Cricetulus griseus: one gene and its partner. Each later gene encodes a partner of the first gene's protein in a complex. Links are inferred from orthologs where the notes say so. Each region holds a gene or a part of one and is shown on either strand. Other genes may lie near its edges.

What was found. Proteins that work in one complex are often made in the same cells at the same time.
Region 2: the proteins of Diaph1 (region 1) and Pfn2 are in contact, whole or in part, in a crystal structure (PDB 2V8F), measured with the Mus musculus proteins. The link is inferred for Cricetulus griseus from reciprocal best matches to the Homo sapiens genes DIAPH1 and PFN2. Residues at the interface, in NP_031884.1 of Mus musculus: Ile635, Pro636, Pro637, Pro638, Pro639, Pro640, Leu641; in NP_062283.1 of Mus musculus: Ala2, Gly3, Trp4, Ser6, Tyr7, Asn10, Ala28, Tyr30, Trp32, Arg108, Met131, Tyr134, Leu135, Ser138, Phe140.

The regions. Positions count from the first base shown.
Region 1 is NC_048595.1:199,753,318-199,756,894, reverse strand, and holds part of Diaph1 (protein diaphanous homolog 1), read right to left. Parts: intron 2,006-3,577; coding exon 1,826-2,005; intron 1,191-1,825; coding exon 540-1,190; intron 1-539. UniProt on the Homo sapiens protein: Actin nucleation and elongation factor required for the assembly of F-actin structures, such as actin cables and stress fibers. Binds to the barbed end of the actin filament and slows down actin polymerization and depolymerization.
Region 2 is NW_023276806.1:93,602,453-93,606,712, reverse strand, and holds the start of Pfn2 (profilin-2), read right to left. Parts: upstream 2,814-4,260; 5' UTR 2,736-2,813; coding exon 2,604-2,735; intron 653-2,603; coding exon 460-652; intron 1-459. UniProt on the Homo sapiens protein: Binds to actin and affects the structure of the cytoskeleton. At high concentrations, profilin prevents the polymerization of actin, whereas it enhances it at low concentrations. By binding to PIP2, it inhibits the formation of IP3 and DG.

The DNA.
Region 1 (3,577 bases):
CCTTCATGGGAGATCTGGAGATAATGTTTCTGGTTTGTTTACTGGTAACTAGTCAAGAATCAAAATCAGTTACACTGATCTTCCTCCTAATTCCAAATCTTCTATTTCCACAAGCATTAAAGCCTTTTTTCCAATGTTCCTTGCTTGATGTTTTCCCCATCAATCTGGCTACATTTAACTTAGTTTCTAGAAGCAAAAGATTGACCCAACCAACCACAGGGGCCACACACGCATCATGGGCTGTACAAGCGTAATTTCAGTCATTTGCACCCGAGTGAAGTGACAACTGTCAACTACCATAGTACTCATTTTATCAGAGTAAAGGCCAAATATATTAAGATAGGTTAAGTTTAATTAAAATATATTCCCATTGGGCCCACAGATCATTCTGTGGTAATAACTGAAATAGAGATGTTATATAAACATAAACACAAGTACAACTTGAAGGACAGATATAAGCCCTAAAGTGGGTAGCCTACGCACACACAAAAATAAGTCAAGAAAAGTAGTTTAAGATCTAATGTTGGAGAAAAACTTACCTTGGACCAATTTGGCCTCCGGAGCTGCACCTCTGGCTTATAAACTTTTTTAGGTGTTAATCCAAATGGCAGAACGGGGACTGCAGGAACCCCAAATCCAAAGGGGGGAGGTGGAGGCATGCCCATTCCAGGTGGAGGTGGAGGTGGAGGCATGCCAGGGCCTCCAGGCAAAGGGGGAGGTGGGGGAGGCAGTCCCGGTCCTCCTGGCAAGGGAGGAGGTGGGGGGGGCCCGGGAATCCCAGCGGAAGGAGGGAGAGCTGGTACACTAGCACTGCCAGGCAAGGGAGGAGGAGGGGGGATAACACAACCTCCAGGCAGAGGAGGGGGAGGGGGGATAACACAACCCCCAGGCAGAGGCGGCGGCGGGGGAATAGCAGTACTGCCAGGCAGAGGAGGGGGAGGGGGTACAGAAGCACCCCCAGGCACAGGAGGAGGCGGGGAGATGGCAGCGACCCCAGGCAGAGGAGGGGCAGGAGGTGGAAAGGTACCTCCAGGAAGAGGAGGTGGGGGTGGGGGTGGTGGAATAACAGTGCCAGGGCCGCCAGGCAGAGGAGGGGCAGGGGGAACAGCAGCACTGCTAGAAACAACCACAGCAGAGAGAGAAGCCATTTCCTTCTTGGCATCTTCTAGTTCTTTTGACAGCTTGGCAACCTAAAGAAGCAACACAGAAGAAGCACTTCTCACCCCACTTCAAAGACTACTGGAGCTGAAAAGGACCGAAGAAACCACTTAGTCCAAATTTCTGTTCAACCATAGATGGACTGAGTGACTGATCACACGATTCTTCTTAAAGTCACACTGACACTTAGTAGGAGAGTAAAACTAGACCTCAAGTCTTTGTGTTCTTGGTTTTAGTGTGTTTTGAGTTTGACAATAAAACTGAAGTATGTGCTATGCAGGTATTCCCACAGCTGTGCAAATGATCAAGTTAGCAGTATTACAGTATTACTAAGCATTTGTACCTGCAGAGAAAGGAGAATGAAGGTGTCATAGAAGCATAAACTAAGTTGGATGGGCAAATAAGCCAATAGTTTACTGTTTACTCCCAAATGCATTATTTCTGGATTCTGCCATAAGTAACTTTTACCATTCTTTATTGTTTTCTAAATGTTTTGTCTTATATACTATCCTCCCAAACAAGACTAAAACCAGTAAATGACTGTTACAACACTCAACCATCTACCTGATGATCCAGCTGCTCTTCCCTAGCATAGGGAACCTATGACCAGCACAGCTGAGCTATGGAGGGCAGCTGCAGGCACACCGCTGTCCTGCTCAGACATTACCTCTCCCGTCAGCTTGGACACCTCCACTTCCAGATCTTGTTTTTGTGTAGCAATCTGCTGTTTCTCAGAATCCAATGCATCCTTTTCTCCTTGAAGATCCAGAAGTTTCTGCTCAAAGTCATTTTCCATCTTCTTCATTTCTACTTGTAACTCATGCCGGGCTGTTAACTCAGAGTCCAACTAAAGAAGGAAAAAAAAATAAAAAAAAAAAATCAGGCTTCCAGTGATCTTTCTGTCATCACCTCAGCTGTCAACACAACACAAACCTACAGTCAACTGGGAAGAGGAAACCTCAACTGAAGAATTGCTCATATCAGACTGGCCTACGGTCATGTCTGTTAGCATCTTCCTAACTGCTAACTGATGCAGAAGGGTTCAGTCCACTGTGGGCTGTGACATCCCTAGGCAGGTAGAACTGGGATGTGTAACAAAGATAGCTAGCTGATCAAGCCAATGGTAAGAGGCCTGTAAGCAGCATCCCTTAGTGTCTACTTCAAGATCCCGTCTTTGCTTCCCTTGATGACAGACTATCAATCGGAAGATGAAATACACCCTTTCCTCTCCAAGTTGCTTTAGGTCACAGTGTTGACCACAGCGAAAGCAAACTAGGATACTATTCATCTTAGTTAGGAGCATACGGGCTAGTTCCTATAATTTACTATTGTGTCTCAACACCACTCTATACAGCTTACTGATTCACCTAAGTTAATACTTGGAAAAGAAGAGACCAATATGATCTTGACTTTAACATCAAAGTTAAAGGGGGAGGAGACAAGAGATCATGTTCATAGTCTTCCTAGTCTTATGGCTAGACAACAAAGCCAGCTAATCTCTGAAAGACCTTTAACCATGTCCTGGTTAGTTTTATGTCAACTTGACACAAGCAAGAGTCATCAAAGAGGAGGAGCCTCAATTGAGAAAATGTCCCTATAGATAGACAGTGGTAGGGCAGCACTCAGGAGGCAAAGAAAGGCAGAGTTCGAGGCCAGTCTGGTCCAAAGAGTGAGTTCCAAGACAGCCAAGGCTACAGACAGAAATCCTATCTCAAAAGACCAAAAAAAAAAAAGAAAAAAAAAAAAGAAAAAAAGAAAGGGCCCCTGTAAAATTGGGCTATAGTCAAGCCTGTGGGACATTTTCTTAATTAGTGACTGATGTGGAAGGCTCAGTCCATTTTTAGGCAGGATCACCTCTGTAGGCTGGTGTTTCTGGCTTCTTTTAAGAATGCAGGCTAAGCAAGCCATGTAAGTAGCAAGCCTCATGGCCTCTGCATTAGCTCCTGCCTCCAGATTCCTGTCCTGCATGAGTCCCTGTCCTGGCTGCCTTTGATGATGAACTGTTACATGGAACCGTGAGTGAAACAAACCCTTTCCTCCCTAAGTTGCTTTTGGTCATGGTGTTTCAGTAAAGCAACAGTAACCCTAACTAAGACAAACCAGGACAGCTGCCTTGCCCAATTCCAGCCACAGCAGGAATCCTTAATTACTACAGAGATGAAAGGAATTGAGAAATATTCCAGTTCCTACCACTCCTAGAGTAAGACTTAAGATGCACACTTACACAGAGTATCATCTGTCTTTGCTGACTTGCCTGGTAGCCCAAGAATGTTGTAAGATCTCCTCTAGTTTCTCATTTCATATCAACACCCTCTTTCCCACTAACAAGATTTCCTCACAGGAACTTTAGATTCTGAATGCTTTCAAAATATCACAGACAATTCTGTCTCACAATTCTGTCAAAAAACAATTATCTTCA
Region 2 (4,260 bases), on another chromosome or scaffold:
TCTTCAGAAATGTTCCTGGCAGAAGAACTAACCAATGTGATTTTTAATGATGAGCAGTGAATTTATTTCAAATCTAAGCAAACTTGAAAGATCCACAAGACTCATTAGAGACAAAATAACGAGGTGTCTTGAACAGTTTAGCATCATATATACCACAGTATTATGACACTGGGTTGTTTAAGGGGCAACTTTTCATTTTCATTTACTAAAGCTGAAGATGAAGAGTTGACATTAATAATTTAGAGTAAGTCAGGGTGAAAGAGGTGAGGCTTCGAGTGTAAAAACTGTAAAGTAGACAGACTGAAAGCAGTACCTCCCCTTCAGTGCTGAGCAGTTCACAAAAACACCTTCATAGACATTATGAACTAGTTTTTAATTCAGACCATTAAAGAAACTCAAGTGTAATATGGCATGCAACTTTTAGGCACACACACACAAAATAAGAAAGAGCTCACTTACCTCTACCAGCTCTGCCAACAGCAACATTGTATGTTGGCTCCCCACCTTGACTCTTTGTCCGGATATCCATTGTGCAGTCACCATCAACGTATAGACTATCTCTGATCACTGAACACTTCTTTGCACCAAGAGTCAAACCGTTGGTAAAGAAACCTTCCCGGTCTTTTCCTACAATCATATCTATTTCTACTGGCTGGCCACCCAAAACAAAGAAAAAAAAATTGCAGTTAATTCCTTTCAGAGTTTGATACAAGGAACAGTGCTGATGTAAAATCAAGATAACATTTTCTGTTATTGCCTATTCCTACATGATTACACGCTTAACACATTAGTCTGCCTTTGCATTTTAACAGTGAGTTCTGCTAACTAAAAGCTAGTGCAATACCAACCATACAAAGAGTCTCCCTAAATAGTTGGCAGTTGACACTAGGTACAAACTGAAAACGAGTTATTTATAAACTATATCACGTCAGGTGGTGCCTGAAGGTGCTTATGTAATTGTAAAGATTCAGCTATAAGCTCTTCCAACAGCTTGCCTATCATATTCAGCCACATTAGTCATGTTGCAACAAATTTAAAGTTGCAAAAGTCTCCCCAGATAAACCTGCTCACTTCTCTCCTTAGAGCAGCTTGAAATATCCTTGGTAGCATGAATCTCAATCACCAGACTGGCGGACATTTCCAAATTCGTATTTCCCTCCTATTTTCTAGCCACTACTCCTTTCTCTCCAACTTGCCTTGCCCTTTCATTCAGTAATCAGCTTTCTTTCTGTCTCCAGCACTACCGTCGGCGATAGTAAAATTATAGAGAAAATGGAGGGGCACTGGTAAAGAAAGTGAGGTAGCCACCAGAACCGGAAAAGAGAAAACGTGCATTCTAACATTCCATGAATAAGAAGGAAGGCGTCGCCCCCATCAGAACTGCAAAGTCATAGCAGGCCCCAGCCATTTCCAAGCACACTCCCGCAATCTTCTTAGCCAGACAGCGGGAACTCACACACAAAGACAAGACTGCAGGAAAAAAAAAGTTGATCACCGAATGTCAATTCCATATAGGAATTGTAGTCTCCCACACCGGGACAGAAGATCCTAAGGCACTCCTATCAAGGGCTGAATCTACACTAATATGTTAAACCATGTCAAGTAGTAAAATGCTGAGTACCTGTGATATGAAACATGAATTTTGCTGTGTGATAGGAAGAGAGTGGGAGTGTGGGGCTACGAAATTAAGGGAATGGTCTTGTACTTGATACTGGAGTCAACATTTTAAAGAGCCTTACGTAGAAATGGGCATAACAATAAGCAGTACTGGAGGCTGATTGACGAATATCTCCCAAATGTGTGGCAACCAAGTCAAAAGCCATCAAGACACCCGAATATGAAGCAAGGTGAAGCATAAATCCGTATTAGTTCTTTTACTACCATCACTAAAGAGGGAGTGACTTGGAGAAGTGTCACCCCTCCCGCGACTTCCAGATAATTTTTTTTTCTTTTAACCACCCTAAAACCATCCTCTTTTTAGGGCTAGGTTGCGTAACTGGGGATAACGGTATATCGATGAATCTCTATAGGTGGAGAAGAGAAATCAATGGCAGTTCGCCATCTTGGAGGAAAAAAAAAAACTATAGAGCCACAGATGAAGTAGATTCACGATTCCACATACGTGGTCCGCGTACCCTTCTTGCCAGCCCAGGAGGCCTGGGTACAGGCAAGCCTACGCAAAGTCACTCTATTAATTCTAGGGACCTGGCCACCGCTGCCTCCCACAGCCCGCGCTCACCGCCGAGTCGGGGCTAGCCGGCCGCCCAGGACCCCCGCCCACACCCGGGGACCCGCACTGCAGCCCACGGGCCTCCCGGAACGCCGAGGGGCCTCTCGGGGAGACGTCCCCTCCTCCACCCCGGCAGTCGCAAGCCGGGGCGCCGCCGGGGCTAAGAGTCCGGCCGCCCCGCCCCCGCGCGGCCTCGGGCAGCATCCCCAGTCTCAGCGGCCCACATCCAGGGACTCGGCCGCATCCATCCCCTCCCCGAGCCGGCAGCATCCCTTGCTCAAGCCCCGGCCGCATCCGTCCCCTTCCTCGCGGGCGGCGTCCCCTCCTCGGAGGCCCGCCGCACACCTGCAGGCTCGGCGCCCCAGGGCCTCACCGTGATGCTCTGGAAGACGCCCCCGGCCGTGGCTGCCCAGACGTATTTGGCGTCGCAGTAGCCGACAATGGCGGCCTCCTGGCAGCAGCCATCGCACATCAGGTTATCCACGTAGCTCTGCCAACCGGCCATCTTCGAGCCCTTCGCACTGCAGCGGGGACGGCAGGAGCAAAGGCGCAGCGGCGGCGGCGGCGGCGGCGGCGGAGGCGGGGCGGGGGCGGGGAGGAGGCGGCTCTGCGCAGGCACCGACCGCCCCTCTCCGGGAACTGCGGCGGGCGGGGACAGGACCCGCAGCGGGGACGCGGCGGGCGGCCGCGGCCGCGAGGCTCAGGAGCCGGCGGCGGCGGCGGCGGCGGAACGATGCGGGCAGCGGGGCTGGCGACGGCTGACTGTCAATGCGGCTCCCTCCGTTCTCCGGGGCCAGCGGGACGTGAGCGCGCGTGCGTGCGATCCTTCCGCAGCGCGGCCGGCCGGCGAGGGTCTCGGGAAGGGCGGGGGAGCTGAGGCGGGGGCGCGGATGGATACCGCCGGGGACAATCACGGCTGACACGTGCGACAGGAGAGCGGACTAGCCGCTGGCGCTGGCTGGGGCGCGGCTCCGGGGCTTCAGGCCAGGCGAGGCAGCATGAGTGGGTGCCGTGGGGTGCCCCTGGAGCTCCGCACGCGGGTCCACCGTGCGCCCTCCTCCAGCGCTGGCTCTGGATGCGGTATTGACAGCCGCGGTGTCTGGTGGCTGGGTTGCCCTGGTTACGGATGCGGCGGGGTTTACTCTTTGTGGTTGGTGGGAGCGGCCAGTGAGAGTTGCCCATGCTTGGGCAGGAACCTCGGAGAAGATCTCTGCCAGCTGCTCCGCAGCATGCAACTGAAATCAGAGCCGCGGCAGGGGAGCGCGCTCCGTGTTCTTTGTTGCCTCCTTGGGTACCAGGAGTCTGGGGTTCTGTGGAACCTTTGCCCTGAACCCAGTGTTGCTAATCATGCCAGGGCCTCGATCATCCAGAAATTCTAAATGAAACAGACCTGCGTGCACTTGGTAACTGGAAAAGATTCTGTGCGTTGCATACGTCGCTGAAAATACACAGTATCCAAGCTAGGGAAGGTTCTAGAGCAGTGGTTCTCAACCTTCCTGAAGCTGTGACCTTTCAATACAGTTCCTCATGTTGTGGTGACCCCAACCATAAAATTGTTTTCCTTGTTATTTCAGAACTGTGATTTTGCTACTGTTATGCAACCCCAAAGGGGTCATGACCCATAAGTTGAGCACCACTGTCCTAACAGTGAGAAATCATTTCAGAATCCAAATCTGAGAAAGACTTGTATTTAACAGGGTGGAAGATAGTTGAGTCTCTGAACTTCCTCCTACATCTTTATTAGCTTTAGGCGTTGGGTCTAAACCCAGAATAGATGTTCTCCAACAACAAACCTGAGTGACCAGCTTTAAACCACAAACCTGACCTGCCTATTAAGGGAAAGAAAGCCCCCAAACCTTGCACACTATTGTCAATTTAAAGTGTGGAGTACGCTGATAATTTTATAATAACATTGCTGAACTTTTATCTCCCCCCCACCCTACTTTTAAGGATAAAAGTAATGTCTTAGTATTCTGTTGCTGTGAAGAGACACCATGACCACACCAACTCTTATAAAAGAAAACATTTAA